Linked DNA regions of Macaca mulatta. The protein of the gene in region 1 interacts with the protein of each later gene in a biochemical or structural test. Links are inferred from orthologs where the notes say so. Each region holds a gene or a part of one and is shown in the gene's direction. Other genes may lie near its edges. The genes, in order: ATP7B and ATOX1.

Region 1 (7,332 bases):
GCCAGAGCCATTGCCACCCAGGTACAGCCCTTTAATATTGCAAACTGCGTAAAGCTCATAAAAGCAGTTAGAGACAAAAGTAAGCACCAGTTGGCCCAGCACTGAACTGTACTCCTGCTCTTTCCCCCTCTCTGGATGCTTTTCTCTCCACGTGCTTCATTCTGTGGCTACGTAGTGTCACACGTGAGCACTGTGGTGCCGTGTGAAGATCTCTTCCTGGGGTTTGGGTGCATGCATCCTCGAAAAAGGAGTTCCATTGTTCTCTAACCTTTTCCCAGTCTTGGCAATGGAAAAAAAGTATGTGGCTTAAGGGCTAAGATAGACATTTTCTAACCTTTATGTTAAAGGAAGATTTTGCCAGCTCAGCTCTTCTCACTCGGGTGCTCAGATAAGTGATTCAGTCCTGGGCAGTTCTCCAGCAGCCCCTGAGGCTGTTTGGCCTGTGAGGACAGTACCACTGGATGGCTGCCTGACTCCTCACACAGCAGTGGCTCCAGTTTGGATTCCTAGAAATTATGCACCTCCAAATGTGTGCAGAGCTCTAGGCTTCTGAAAGCTTAATTGTGTTCCTTGAGGGAAGCAGCAATACCCCTGTTTTCCATGGTCCTCCTTGCTAATGGTGGACCTGTTTAGCGTCCTTCCCCCCTTTTCTGGCTAACACTTGTTCATCCATTCAGCAGGCACTTACGAAGCACCACGAATGTGACAGGCAGGTGCGGGGCCAGGCTCTGTGAGGAATGAAGGGGGCTCGGCTCACAGTCTTGCAAGAAGGCGGACCAGTGACGGTGTATATCTGAGAAGCGGGAGAGGGGCTAGGAAAGGAAAACTGCACCTTTCCAGGACAGAGCAGGCAGCAGGAGCATTTCCCAGGGGCACAGAATAGCACGGCGATTTGGAGACACTGCGGGGAGCTGAATGGTGTGGTCAAGTGTGGCACCAGCGGCCAGACCCTGAGACTCTGGGGACCTCAGAAGCAGACCTGAGAGTTGAGCTGCCCTCCTCTGGGAGGTGCATGGGGTCTGCTGGAGGACATGAGACAGGAGAGTAGGGACCCATGGCCGTACAGATGCTTTGGGAAGACCATGGGTGCAGCACATGGAGAAGAAAGTTGGGGTACTGAGCTGTGGACAGGGAGACCAGCAAGGGGGTTGTTTGCACATCCAGAAAAGGACAGGGCCTAAACCAGTACAGGGTGTTGGGGCGGGAGCCAGGGATGAACTGGCCCTGTGACAGCAAACCTGCAGGGTGTGGCTGACAAACGTCACTGACTGGACCCAGAGGCTGAGGGCAGAGGGGCAAGGGTAATTTGAGGCTTCTGCTGCTATCTGATACCTTTTGCCAACACCAGGCATTGCCCTTCTTTTGTCTTAGGTTGGCATCAACAAAGTCTTTGCAGAGGTGCTGCCTTCGCACAAAGTGGCCAAGGTCCAGGAGCTCCAGAATGAAGGGAAGAGAGTCGCCATGGTGGGGGATGGGGTCAATGACTCCCCAGCCTTGGCTCAGGCAGACATGGGTGTCGCCATTGGCACCGGCACGGATGTGGCCATCGAGGCAGCCGACGTCGTCCTCATCAGAGTGAGCACGGCTGCAGCCAGGCTGTGGGTACTGGGAGGGTGGTGGGCAGACACCTTCCTCACTGTGTGCTCCTCTCCATCAGAATGATTTGCTGGATGTGGTGGCTAGCATTCACCTTTCCAAGAGGATTGTCCGGAGGATACGCATCAACCTGGTCCTGGCACTGATTTATAACCTGGTTGGGATACCCATTGCGGCAGGTAGGCAGCTTTTACCCACTGTACTCCAGCTGTGCCCAGAAAGGCTTCTGTCTCCCAGGTTTCTGCTGAGGTTAGTGAGTGCCTCACTCACTGGCTGGCTAGAGATGTTTTAGAAAGGCTGGTTTTTTTTATGTCCCCTGCTTTATATGTCTTTAAAGGTAAATGAGAAACTGTGAAGAGGACCTGAAAACTTCATTCACTCTGTTCCTTTCTAAAAAGCTAGTGGAGATGCTTGGCTATATTTTCTGAGCCCTATTTTACTGTGGCCTTATTTTCAGAGCCATTTGTTAAGACATATAGTCTGAGAAATAATCACTAGTAAGAATTATGGGGCATTTGCTACATGTTAGGCACAATTATTGGTGTTTCAGAACCTTATCCTGAACTTTAGTCCTGCCCAAGTTTCACTCTGAGTTACACAAATGATCATGGAAAGAAATGGCTTTTTGGCCAGGCGTGGTAGCTCATGCCTGTAATCCCAACACTTTGGGAGGCTGAGGCAGGAGGGCCATTTGAGCTCAGGGGTTCAAGACTCACCTGGGCAACATAGTGAGACTTCATCTCTACAAAAATTTTAAAATTAGCTGGGCATGGTAGCATACACCTTAGTCCCATCTGGGAGTACAGAGGCTGGGGCAGGAGGATTTATTGAGCCCAGGAGTTGGAGGTGGCAGTGACCCATGATTGTACCACTGTACTCTAGCCTGGGCAAGAGTAAAACCCTGTCTCAGAAAAAAGAAAAAGAAAAGAAATAGATTTTTCTGCTTTGTAATTCCCCCTCATTCCCCCTCCCCAAGAAACGCCTCTCCCCTGCCCCCTGCTCCCTGCCCCTGGGAACATGGCAGTGAAAAGTTCCAGACCCTTCTGTAAGGCAGTGCCCCTCCATGGGCTGAGGAGAGATCAAGTTTGTAATCACAGCATTCCTGCCTCAGTCTCCCTTGTGTCTGAGTGGTTAGTGGTGACTTGTGTAACAGGGTGTTGGCCTCCTGAGCCCAGTGAGTTAGGCAGGTTTACTTCCTGTCCCCAGAGCCGGCTCAGGAGCTTAATTCCCCCAGTGTGTGTGCCTCTGTCACACAAAGTTGACCATACCTGTCTCCTGACCCTGCCCTGGGACCTGGCTCTCATTCCTCTTTTAAAGATGTCATGAAGCCCTGGAGGCGAGGTCATCTGCTAGACAAGGGCTGTGGCCATCAGCCATGTTTGTCCTCTGTGGTACTGTGGCTGCAGGATGGGCAGCTGGCTCCCTCACCTCCTGCCACTTTTCTCCTCCCGCTCCTCCCACTCTCTGGTTCGTCGCTGCCCTGGAGCTCGCCCTGAAATGGGATGCCACCTGTGGGTGGTTCTGGGAATGTCAGGGCAAATGGAAGAGAGCCAGGACCGCTTGACAGCACCCCACACCCAGCTTTCTAGGAAGCCTCACTTTGGGGGGCCTGTGAACAAGATCCATTGGCAGGGGCTTCCGAGCATGCCAGGTGGAGACCTCACTGGGGGCCACTGAGGGTGGGGCCAGCCCGGTGCCTGAGGCCCTCTCCTGGCTCCTCTCCCCAGGCCTAGGTGCGAGTGCGAATTCTTTCTTCCCCAGGTGTCTTCATGCCCATCGGCATTGTGCTGCAGCCCTGGATGGGCTCAGCGGCCATGGCCGCCTCCTCTGTGTCTGTGGTGCTGTCATCCCTGCAGCTCAAGTGGTGAGTCCCCTCAGGCGGAGCATCTGTTGGAGCCTCCCAGGAGGCCCTGTCATTCTGCACGCTCAGGGAACAGTGGAACTTGCCTCTCATTCCCCAGTCATTCACCTGGGACAAACGCTGCAGTGGCAGCCCACGTGGAGCCTGGTGTGCATGCGTGTAACTTATCAGCACCGTGAGCAGGCAATTCACTGCTGCCCATCCACATGCTGGGCTGCCCTTACTCTGCTGCTCAAGGGCTGTTACTGTGAACATCAAGCAGACATGGGTCCCTGTGTATTATCTATCATTTTTTTTCTTTAAAAAAGATGTTCACTTATTTATGAGTGCATTCATTTAACAAAAGTGAGTGGCAGCCTACAATGTGCAAGGCATTTGCTTAGGAAGTTTCTAAATCAGGTGAGCTTTCCTGGAACCATAGGGAGTTTAATATCCTTTTCCTTGGGATCTCTTGAGGTTTTGGTACTAAATGTTATTAAAAGATAGATGAGAGGCCTTCACCAGGCTGAGAAAAAAAAGAGCCTTGTTTCTAGAATGGCTCAGATGCTGTTGCCTTCCTGCTTTCCAGCTATAAGAAGCCTGACCTGGAGAGGTATGAGGCACAGGCGCATGGCCACATGAAGCCCCTGACAGCATCCCAGGTCAGTGTGCACATCGGCATGGATGACAGGCGGCGGGACTCCCCCAGGGCCACACCATGGGACCAGGTCAGCTATGTCAGCCAGGTGTCGCTGTCCTCCCTGACATCCGACAAGCCATCTCGGCACAGCACTGCAGCGGACGATGGTGGGGACAAGTGGTCTCTGCTCCTGAATGACAGGGATGAGGAGCAGTACATCTGATGGCACCAGGCAGGCGGGCCAGGGCAGGGCCTTGCCTCCACTCGCCACAAGCTGAGCAGGACAGCCAGCAGCAGGATGGGCTGAGCTAGCCTCCAGCTTTGGGGACTTCCACTCCCTGGATATGTCCAGTCATCCTGCCCTGCAGCACGTGGTCTTGTCTGAGTGCAACTGGCCTTGCCCTAGAGAGGACGGCCTGGCCTGCCTCTTGGCGTCACTGAACCGTCAGGATGGGCTTTGTCTTGGCCTCTAGTCCTTGGCTGTACTGTAGAAGGTGAGAGGCGAGTCACCCTCCTCACAAACCTCTGCTTGGAGTATTTAGGATGACTGCTATGAAATGGAGAACAGTTTCATCAGGACCAAAAAACCTCACTGGGCCTTTCCAGAGAACGGCAGACCTCACTGTCAGGCTCTTTCTGATGACGCCTGTCTGTGTGCATCATGTTTCTGAGACCACAGTTTACCTCAGGTGTGCCTGCTGCTTTCTTCCTGCACAGTCTGTTCCTTTTCTCTTCTGTGTGCTTGTCCGTGGGGACCCCTTGGAACCCTGCCTGTCTCCTAGGAGGGCGAGACCAGTGTCTTTGTGGTCCTTGCTGCTGCTCTCAGGCGCTTCTCCAGTGCTCTGGAGTGTGCATTTCAGCTTGAACCTGCTTCCTGGCTCGCACATCCCCAGTCAGGGAGCTTGCCACACCATTCTTCAGGTCCAGGAGGGTTCTTTTTTTGTTTGAAGCCCCCTTCTCCATGGAGTGGGGGCTTCTCAGTAGAGTGTTGTTGCTGACCAGCTGACCTGAGAGTCCAGACTTGGCTTCCTGTGGGGTCTAGGTTCTCGCAATTCAGGACGTCCTTCCATATTCCTGCCCAGCCTGTGGTGCTCAAAACGTTTGTCCCATGGGAGACATGTGTGTGCAGGAGCCTCCCTGCATGGCCCCAGGAGCTTCGTTTTCAGTCTTCTGTGTGACTGTCACCTCATGGGGTTCAATAGAGAATTCATGTCACTAGCACCTGGCCTTGTGTGGCTTGGAGATTAGGTACTGCCCAAATAGGAGGAAAGCACAGCCTCCTTGAGCCTGCCTTCTGCACGCACAGGGGCTTCAGGAAAGGAGTGGCCACAGCATCCCGAAGGGAGCATCTGTTTACCTGGCCGTGGCTCTCAGAGCAGCAGAAGGGGTCCAGTTTTAGACTCTGAAGTTGGTTGTGATTGACAGAACCCCTTGGGAGCAAACTAGTAGATGTTGGATTAAATTCTGGGTGAAACCCTTTTCTCCCACACAAAATAGTTTTAGTGACTTTTTTCAGTGTCCATTACTTGCCAGGGGCAGTTTTAGCAGCACTTTCGATAGATTACCTCTAATCTTCCCAGCCAACCAACAAGGTAGCTATTACTGTCCGCATTTTACAGGCAAGGAAACAGGCTCCAAGAGGCTGAGGACTTTGCCCAGGATGACATAGCCAGTGGACAAGCCGTGTCTGTCAGCTGTGAAGGCTTCACTCTAATTGTCCTTCTACCTTGAATAGAAGTTTTCCTGATAAGAATAAACAAGGAAAAGGTCCTTGCCTCCTGGAAGAACGAATCTACCAGGTGATCTATTCATTGTTTCAACTCAGAATGCAATTCATTCAGGAGGTCATCTGACCTTCACCTTGGATGGTTAGTTTCACTTTTTACATATAGTTTTTGCGGGGTTTTATTTTATAAAATCCAAGCTCCCCAGTGATTGTGTTTTCATTGTTTTCAGCCCCCCAACTCCAGCCCGCAGCACATTTCCGCTGTCCGTCAGTAACTGTGTCCTCTCTTTATGCTTGCTTGGGGAATGTTGTTTTCTGACTAGGCTGATCATTATCTAAAGAATCTAATTCTGTTGATTTTTAAAACTTATAGGACCATAAACGTTGTGTTCCTATATGGACATGGAAATATTTATATAATTTTATAGAAAATAACCTTTTAGATGGTCAAAGTGTAAGGAATTTTTTTGTCAGATAACCATTTCTACTTCAAAAACATTTCATGCAATATTAGAATAAAGTTCTTGTCATTCCTCTCAAAATCTGCCTGTGAGTGAGATGCGTGGTCAGAGGCCAGTGCCATCCTGTCGTCATGAGGGCTTCTGTGAGGCACTGGCTTGGCTTGATGTCTTTTTAGGGGGCAGAGAAGGATGGGATTTTAACAGCAGGGGACATGAGGGTGGGCAGAGCCCCCTTGATCTGCCATCCCCAGCACTGGTGTAAGTCCATTTCTCTAATGCAGGCCTGCCTCAGTGGCGTGTGGGGAGAACGCTGAAAGGCAGCTCCTGTCAAAGTCCCTGCCCTCCTGGGTTGGATGCGGGCTTGAATTACTGCATCGTTTGCACCCCTCTGTTCTAGGGTGAGTGTCTGCAAAAGGCTGTTCTCAAACACATCTTAATCAGGAGGGTTATGTTTGGGGTTCCTTGGTCTTGAGGGAGTGGGTCAGGAGGAGGAGCAGAAAAATCTTGACTAGTGGGCTCTGCTGGGAAAGCTCTGTGGGCATCTTGGGGTGGCCGGGAGGTGTAAGTGAGCCACACCTGAAGGGAGTTGACAGTGTAATCTTCACCCACACCAGGACACTTTGAAGAGCGGAAGGAGACACTATGAATAGTTATGCCAGGAGAATTGGCCTATACCGGGACTATCCAGGCAAACTGGGACATGGCGCTCACCTTCCTTCCAAGGGAAATAGACATTGTGAAGTCTCCATTGACACAGACTGTCTACTTTAGAACTTTGCCCGATCACAGGTTCCAGAGACATGCTGGTGGCATAGTCCTTTATCACATTTCAAGGTTCCCCCCATATCCACATCTTGGTACCTACACTTCTCTGTGGAATCATTGAGGTGATTATCTCATGGCTCAATGTGACTGCATAGCTAGATGGCCAGCCCCGCCCTCCAGCACACCATGACTTCGTGCCATGCCTGCTTGACTATTTTTCCAGATGCCTGGGTACAGAAATTTCATGTTGTGAAAAGTGAGGGTGATACCACCTTAGGAAGGGATCCCCTTTCTTTAGAAGATA
Region 2 (7,839 bases), on another chromosome or scaffold:
ATACCTACAGTGCGTACATTCCTATCCTCACAACAACACTGTCAGCCAGAAAGGGCAGGGATTCTATATGCCCATTTGCCAGGCTCATTGGCTTAGAGATGGCTCATTGCCTATAATCTCAGCACTTTGGGAGGCCAAGGTGGGCGGATCACAAGGTCTGGCCAACAAGGTCAGGCTGGTTCGAGACCAGCCTGGCCAACATGGTGAAACCTTGTCTCTACTAAAAATACAAAAATTAGCCGGGCAGGGTGGTGCACGCCTATCATCCCAGCTACTTGGGAGGCTGAAGCAGGAGAATTGCTTGAACCCAGGAGGCAGACGTTTCAGTGAGCAAAGATTGCGTCACTGCACTCCAGCCTGGGCGACAGAGCAAGACTCCATCTCGAAGAGGAAAAAAAAAAAAAAAGGCAAGAAAGAAAAGGATTGATATGTACTGTTAAGGAATAATCTTTTTTTTCTTTTTCTTTTCTTTTCTTTTTTTAAAATACAGGGTCACATTCTGTCACCCAGGCTGGAGTGCAGTGGTGTAATTATAGCTCAGTGCAGCCTTGACCTCCTAAGCTCAAGTGATGCTCCCACCTCAGTCTCCTGAGTAGCTGGGACCACAGGCATATGCCACCACACCTGGCTAATTTTTGTGTTTTTTGTAGAGCTGGGGTTTCACCATGTTGCTAGTCTGGTCTTAAACTCCTGGGGTTAAGTGATCCTCCCACCTGGGCCTCTTAAAGCAATGGGATTAGAAGTATGAGCCACTGCACCTGGCCCAGGAATAACCTCTAAGATATTTTATAAAGTGAGAAAAGCAGGGTGCAAAACTGCATATAGTATGCCTTTTGTTTAAGAAGGAGAGGTCAGGGTAGGAGGGAGACCTACTTTTCACTGTATGCTACTTTGTGTTATTTGAAAATTAAACAGTAGGCACATTGGGATTCCACCTGCAAATCCTACACTTATCCAAGGTAACTTCTAGTAACATTGGCTGTAGTTGATTTCAGGCTTATTTTTATGTAAATACACGGAATGTATGTATATCTTTATGCAGGAACTACAGTCTGGCATATTTTCTTCTCTTTAATAGGCCTTTATTTGCGATCTTTAACAGATCTTCATAAAGCTGTCTTCTCTTTAAATTGCTGTCTCTAGGCTTAGCCATACCCCCAACTCCTACCCCTAATTCTCTAAAACATGCCGTGGGTGGCTCGCCCTGTGCACTGTTGCCTTTGGGAAGGATTTCGTTCCCTCATGGCCACCCTCCACCTTCCCTCATGGCAATCTGGCTATCCCTAGCCCCAGTGTAAAGTTGCACCCAGGACTACCAAGATGCTAAGCCTTGCCTCTACAGGACCTAATGTGCCAGCACCCTCCTTCCCTCTCCTCCTCGCCCCCATCCCTTCCATCTTTAGGGAATTCCTGGCAGGTTGGGTAGGGGATGAATGGTTAAGGGGTATTTTGTGAGCAGGGGAAAACCCAGTGCCAGGGAGGCCAACCGAGGGCCTAGCAATTAGAGAATACTTATATATTTTGGTGCCTACCATGTGCCAAGCAATGTGCTTAGAAGTCTGCATACATTACACGTATTCCAACAATACCACAAAGTAGGTTTCCTGGAGGGAACCATGTGTCCTTGTTTGCCTGAAACAGTCATGGTGTTTGCCTGTTGTCCTGGCAAAATTATTAATAGCATCTCCTTTCTCTAGCAAAAGGTTTAGATAAAAAAAATTGTATAGTCACCTTAACTGTCCCCATCTTATACGTGAGGATATTGAGGCTTAGAGAGGTAAGTTCATCTGCCCAGGGTCACACGGCTGGTAAATGATAGAGCTGAGATTAAAACTCTAGTCAGTATGGCTCTGTTAGGGACTGAACTCTGACATGGACATGAATGGTGTTCCCCAAAATTCCTATGTTGATACCCTAACCCCCAATGCGACTGCATTTAGAGACAGAGCCTGTAATAGGGCGATAAAGGCTAACTGAGGTCCAGATTATTGCCTCCTCCCCAGGCCGCCTCTCTTCCACAACCACCCCCACCCCACTGCAGTCAGGGCCCTTCCTCCTCTGCCACGACAGCTCTGCTAACCCGGCACTATCACTGCTTGCGTCCTTCGCAGCCTCCTGCTACATCTTTTACACCGCTGCGTCCTCGTTGGCTGGCGCTCAATAGACATTGACTCGGTGAATAAATGAGTGAAACTGTCCTTTTAGGGATGGATGAATCTGTCCTATTCAAGGCGGTGCCCTTTTCTGGTATTCCCTAACACAAGCTTGACCCGAAGTAGGCGTTCTGAAAAAGGCCGACAGTCGATGGAGGCCAACGCAGCGCTCCTCTCACCTCCTCTCTCCGTCCAGGCCGGGTGACCATAAGCGCGGCCAGCGGAAAGGAGGCGGTGCGGCCGGCAGGGTTGAGGCCCGGAGGGGGCGGGGCCTCCCTCGCGACCTGGCCCGGAGAGGGTGGGGCTTCCGGGAAGGTGCCTCTAGCACGCACTCTCGGAAGCGCAGCCGAACCCGCCCTCCGAGCCCAGAGGCGCTGCTGCCACCGCCGCCCCGCTGCCGCTGCCTTAGTTATGCCGGTGAGTGGTTGCGCCGTGCCCGCCACGCACACTTGCAGTCCCCGGGTTCCTCCTTGGCTGCACAACAGCTTGACCGGATGCTTCTCTTGAAGGGCTCAGCTTACCCCACCCAGCCCCCAGCTTTTGCGACCCTTCAGAAAATGGGATCCGAAGGGAGTTTAATCTAGGAGCCAGGCTTCAAAACGTCGGAGCTGGAAGGCCTCCAGGGGCGACAAGCCCACACCTTTCCTGCGTACACGGAGAAACAGACCCAGAGAGGGGGCAGGGGGTCGCTCAGCAGGACGCGGGGAGTTGGTGGCCAGCGGGAACTGAGACGCCTACTCCCTGAGCCTTCCTCTTGGCTGCCCCGCCCGCTTAGCTGGCCTGAAGGAGGGCGGGAGGCTCTGGGCATGGGGATGGACCCGGTTATTCCCTCACGGACCGGGCAGGTTTTCAGAGGTTCATGATTTTTTCTAAATTTTCCTGCCACTATGGCTTACTTTTCAAATCAGCTCTGGGCGACTCTGAATGGAGACACTTTGTCAGCCTGAACCCATAAGCCCCAGAGAGGTTCAGGAACCCCCCTCAAAGTCACCAGTTGCTCAGTGGCAAGAGTCTGGGAAGTCAGTCTGAGCCTGCCTTTGCAGATCACTCAGTATATTGTTGCTCGTGGTCTCGTTTTTTATATAAAAAAGAATTGAGGGCTTTGACAGATAAAAATATAAAAAACCCAGTAACTTATTCCAGGTCGTGTTGAAGTTGGCAGAGCCAGGATTCAGCTCCTTATCCTTAGGCTCCCCATCTCTCCAGGCCTGACCACATCGGAGGTGCCTGGCAAAAGCAGTCATACCGGCTTGGGAAGATGCTCTGATCTCAGTTGCATCTTGGTTAGGGTCATGTGGTGTTTAGCATTTTCTTCGAGGTGCGTAATTCATGGCTCTGGGCCAGGTGGATATCAAGAGGTATCCCACAGATGCCATGTGTCTTAGCAGCCTGTCCTTTGGGAGCTGACAGGTGAGCCTGACGCCCCCTGGGCAGAGCCACTAACATCTCAGGTGTCATTTCCCTTGGACCTTGCCAGGTGCCTTGAGACAAATCCTCCAACAACAAAGTATGGATAAGGAATCTGACAGAATCAGCCCTACCAGTTGAGCAAGTCAGCCTGTGGCAATGGTAGAAGACAGTATTAATCTCCCTGGGACTTAGAGAGTGAAGGTCACCAGGATTTTTTGTGGGGGGTGGCAGTGAGGAAAAGTCCAGCTTGATCATCAGTGTATTCTGTATCTTCTGGGGATTTTGACAAAAGACCCTCTGGAGCAAATGATGGGAATGAGGAGGGCGCTTGGCACCATGTACCACAAGATGAGCAGCTGAAGGAAGGAGGGTGTTAGTCAAGGGACTGCCTTAAAACTGGAAAGGGAAGAAAAAAACATATATATATGTTAATATGTATATATACTGGGAGACAATGCGAGACTCCGTCTCAAAAAAAGAAAAAAAAATCGTCCCACTTACTTCGCCCAGGCTGATCTTGGCTCACTGCAAGCTCCGCCTCCCGGGTTCACGTCATGCTGCCTCAGCCTCCTGAGTAGCTGGGACTACAGGCACCAGCCACCACGCCCAGCTAATTTTTTTTTGTATTTTTGGTACTGACGGGTTTCACCATGTTAGCCAGGATGGTCTTGATCTCCTGACCTTGTGATCTGCCTGCCTCGGCCTCCCAAGGTGCTGGGATTACAGGCATGAGCCACTGTGCCCGGCCCCCACTTACTGACTTTTAAAACCTACTTTAAAATCTACCCATTTTATAAGTCTTTATGAAAGACCCCAGAGGCCTTGAGGAACCAGAACTACCCAGTTATGCATCCGGTGGTAGAGCCAATCTTGAGCTTCTCCTATAAAGAAGTGATTACTCTGTCCATGAAATAGTTTTTCCATCACCCTCAAATTTATTTTTGCCCCTCAGAGGTGGAGGAGGAGAGCACTGAACTGTAATGTTTATACCCAGCAGCTGATTTCTGACTTCTGACCTTTATACTGTAGGGGATGGGACCTACTCCCTATAATCAGCAACTGAAAGTTTCAGGTATTTGTTGACTTCAGGTCCTTGGGCAGCAAAAAACTGTGCTCCCTAAAAATGTATTTCTAGTTTCGGAGCTTCTGCTGAGAGTCACGGTTATGAGAGCTGGTGGTGTACTTTGCTATTCCAGAACGAGCAGGATTTCCCTGGAGCGAAGAAAGCCTAGGTTCATATTCCATACTCAGTAGGTATTTGCCACATGACTGCAGGCCACTTAGTGAACTCTTGGGAACTTCACTTTCCTCCTGAGTGAAATAAGATAAATAGCTTTCTTTCCAGGCTCAGTGAGGACTAGCTTAGATACTGTATAAAGACAATTTGACATATAATAGACAATCAGTAGATTTAGCTCTTAGGTTGATCTTGCAAACCCTTCCAAACTTTGGCTCAGTATATAAGTGCAAACCATTGATTAATCAATTTTCTGCTGGTTATCCTAGAGCAAGACTCAGCAAATTTTTTTTTACAAGGCCCAGATAGTAAACATTTTAGTCTTCACAAACCACAGGATCTCTGGTACAACTACTCAACCCTGCCATTCTAGTGCAAAAGTAAACAAGTGAGTTTGGCTATGGTTTTTTGTTTTTGATTCTTTTTTTTTTTTTTTTTTTGAGACAGAGTGTTGCTCTCTCGCCAGGCTGGAGTGCAGTGGCATGATCTCGGCTCACTGTAACCTCCGCCTCCCAGGTCAAGTGATTCTCCTGCCTCAGCCTCCTGAGTAGCTGAGATTACAGGCGCACGCCACCGCTACCAGCTAATTTTTGTATTTTTAGTAGAGACGGGGTTTCACCATGTTGGCCAGAATGGTCTCGATCTCTTGACCTCATGATCCTCCTGCCTCTGCCTCCCAAAGTGCTGGGATTACAGGCATGAGCCACCACACCTGGCCTCAGTTTGGCTATGTTTTAACAAAACCTTTTACCTTGTAAAACAGGTAGCTTGTATTGTGCCAATCCATGTTCTAGAGCATCATCATTTTTTTTTTTTTTTTGCAAAACATTTTTTTTTTGTTTTAAATTAAATGGAGCCATGATCTCACTGTATTGCCCAGGCTAGTCTCAAAATCCTGGGTTCAAGTGATCCTCCCATTTCAGCCTCCCAAAGTGTTGGGATTACAGGTGTAAGCCACTGCACCCAGCCTTTAGATTTTTATTTATTTATTTATTTTGAGACAGAGTCCTGCTCTGTTGCCCAGGCTGGAGTGCAGTGGCATGATCTTGGCTCACTGCAGCCTCCGCCTTCTGGGTTCCAGCTATTCTCCTGCCTCAGCCTCCCAAGTAGCTGGGATTACAGGCACCTGCCATTATGCCTGGCTAATTTTTTTCTATTTTTAGTAGAGAGACAGGTTTTACCATGTTGGCCTGACTGGTCTCGAACTCCTGACCTCAGGTGATCTGCCTGCCTCAGCCTCCCAAAGTGTTGAGATTATAGGCATGAGCCACATTGCCCTGCCTAAAAAATTTTTTAATAGAGGAGAGCATCATCTCAACTGTAATGTGGGCAGGAATGACTTGGGTGTCTTGTTAAAATGAGGATTCTGATTCCGGACTTCTGGGAAGGGACCTGAGATTGTGCATTTCTGGCAGGCTGTCAGGTGATGATCGTATTGTTCGGTTGAGGACCACATTTTAAACACAAGATTTTGTAATACCTACTACAAATCATTCTTTCCAGAATTTGTTATTGTTGCTGTCTTTGAATAGTCATGAAACGATGAAAAAATCAGAGATGTTTAGAAGAAAGACTGACCATTTTCTTTAAGGCAGACTTTGCAGATTTGGCCTTAATAAAAGTAGTAGTTTACTAGTCACAAAGGTCATACAGTCTACACTGGAAAATCGAGCTGCTTAACTCTTGGTCTTGGTTTCCTCTGTAGAGCACAATGACAATCCAGACTCAGAGGTGTTTAGAGACTTAGAAAGAGTTTGAGAAGCCACTTAGTCACTTTATTTTCAGGTTTGTAGTTTTGCCTCCCTGTCTCTCCCCAGTAGGTTAAAAATGGGGAGTGGCAGGGCCTGCTCCACATCCACAGAGCCAGTTGAGGCAGGTGTCTGGGAGCTGCACTTTACACAAGGTCCCCAGATTCTTCCTATGCATGCTGAAGTTGAAAAAAAACTGAGTTAGCTAATACCCTTTTGGTATAGATTAGGGAACTAGAGCCCTTCTGGAGCAGAGATTTTGCCTGTGATTTTCTAGCAAGATATATCGCTACACCCAGAATTCCAATTGAGGTAATAGACTTGAAATATTTTGAAGTGCTCCGTGAAAAATGTAGCCATTGATTTTTGAAGGGAAACAGGAGAGACAAATGGAAGAAATTAATAATAACCCAATAGCTAATTTTTTTTTTTTTTTTTTTTGAGACGGAGTCTCGTGCTGTCACCCAGGCTGGAGTGCAGTGGCCGGATCTCAGCTCACTGCAAGCTCCGCCTCCCGGGTTCACGCCATTCTCCTGCCTCAGCCTCCCGAGTAGCTGGGACTACAGGCGCCCGCCACCTCGGCCGGCTAGTTTTTTGTATTTTTTAGTAGAGACGGGGTTTCACCGTGTTAACCAGGATGGTCTCGATCTCCTGACCTTGTGATCCGCCCGTCTCGGCCTCCCAAAGTGCTGGGATTACAGGCTTGAGCCACCGCGCCCGGCCCAACCCAATAGCTAATTTTTTACCCAATGGAACCTAGTACTAGGCTCTAATTTCCTTAATGTATTAGTTATCTGTTTCTCCTTAGTAATTATCCCAAAACTTTGTAGTAAACAACAAATATATTTATAGTAATTCACACAGTTTCTGAGACTCAGGAATTTGGGAACAGCTTGGCCTAGTGGCTCCAGCTCAGAGGCTCTCATAAAGTTGGAGTGAGATGTTAGCTGGAGCTGCATTCATCTGAAGACTTGACTGGAGCTGCAGAATCCAGTTTCGAGATGGCTCACTCACATGCTTGTTAGCTTGAGGGTTGGGTCTCTCACTTTGTGGACCTCTCCTTATGGTTACTTGAATATCTTTATGATTTGGTAGCTGACTTCCTCTAGTGCAAGTGACCCCTGAAAGAGAGCAAGACAGAAGTCACAGTGTCTTTTATGACATTGTGATATCTTCAGAAGGCACATAACCTCACTTCAAGCCATATTCTATAAGACACACAGACTAACCCGAGACATTTGGAATGGGATTACTCAAGGGCATAAATACCAGAGGCAGAGATCATTGAGGC

Evidence for each region.
Region 2: the proteins of ATP7B (region 1) and ATOX1 form a complex in vitro, tested with the Homo sapiens proteins (3 studies listed by BioGRID and IntAct). The link is inferred for Macaca mulatta from reciprocal best matches to the Homo sapiens genes ATP7B and ATOX1.

The regions. Positions count from the first base shown.
Region 1 is NC_133422.1:31,166,624-31,173,955, reverse strand, and holds the end of ATP7B (copper-transporting ATPase 2), read left to right. Parts: coding exon 1-21; intron 22-1,371; coding exon 1,372-1,575; intron 1,576-1,657; coding exon 1,658-1,775; intron 1,776-3,357; coding exon 3,358-3,460; intron 3,461-4,025; coding exon 4,026-4,299; 3' UTR 4,300-6,344; downstream 6,345-7,332. UniProt on the Homo sapiens protein: Copper ion transmembrane transporter involved in the export of copper out of the cells. It is involved in copper homeostasis in the liver, where it ensures the efflux of copper from hepatocytes into the bile in response to copper overload.
Region 2 is NC_133411.1:160,686,733-160,694,571, reverse strand, and holds the start of ATOX1 (copper transport protein ATOX1), read left to right. Parts: upstream 1-2,483; 5' UTR 2,484-2,564; coding exon 2,565-2,570; intron 2,571-7,839. UniProt on the Homo sapiens protein: Binds and deliver cytosolic copper to the copper ATPase proteins. May be important in cellular antioxidant defense.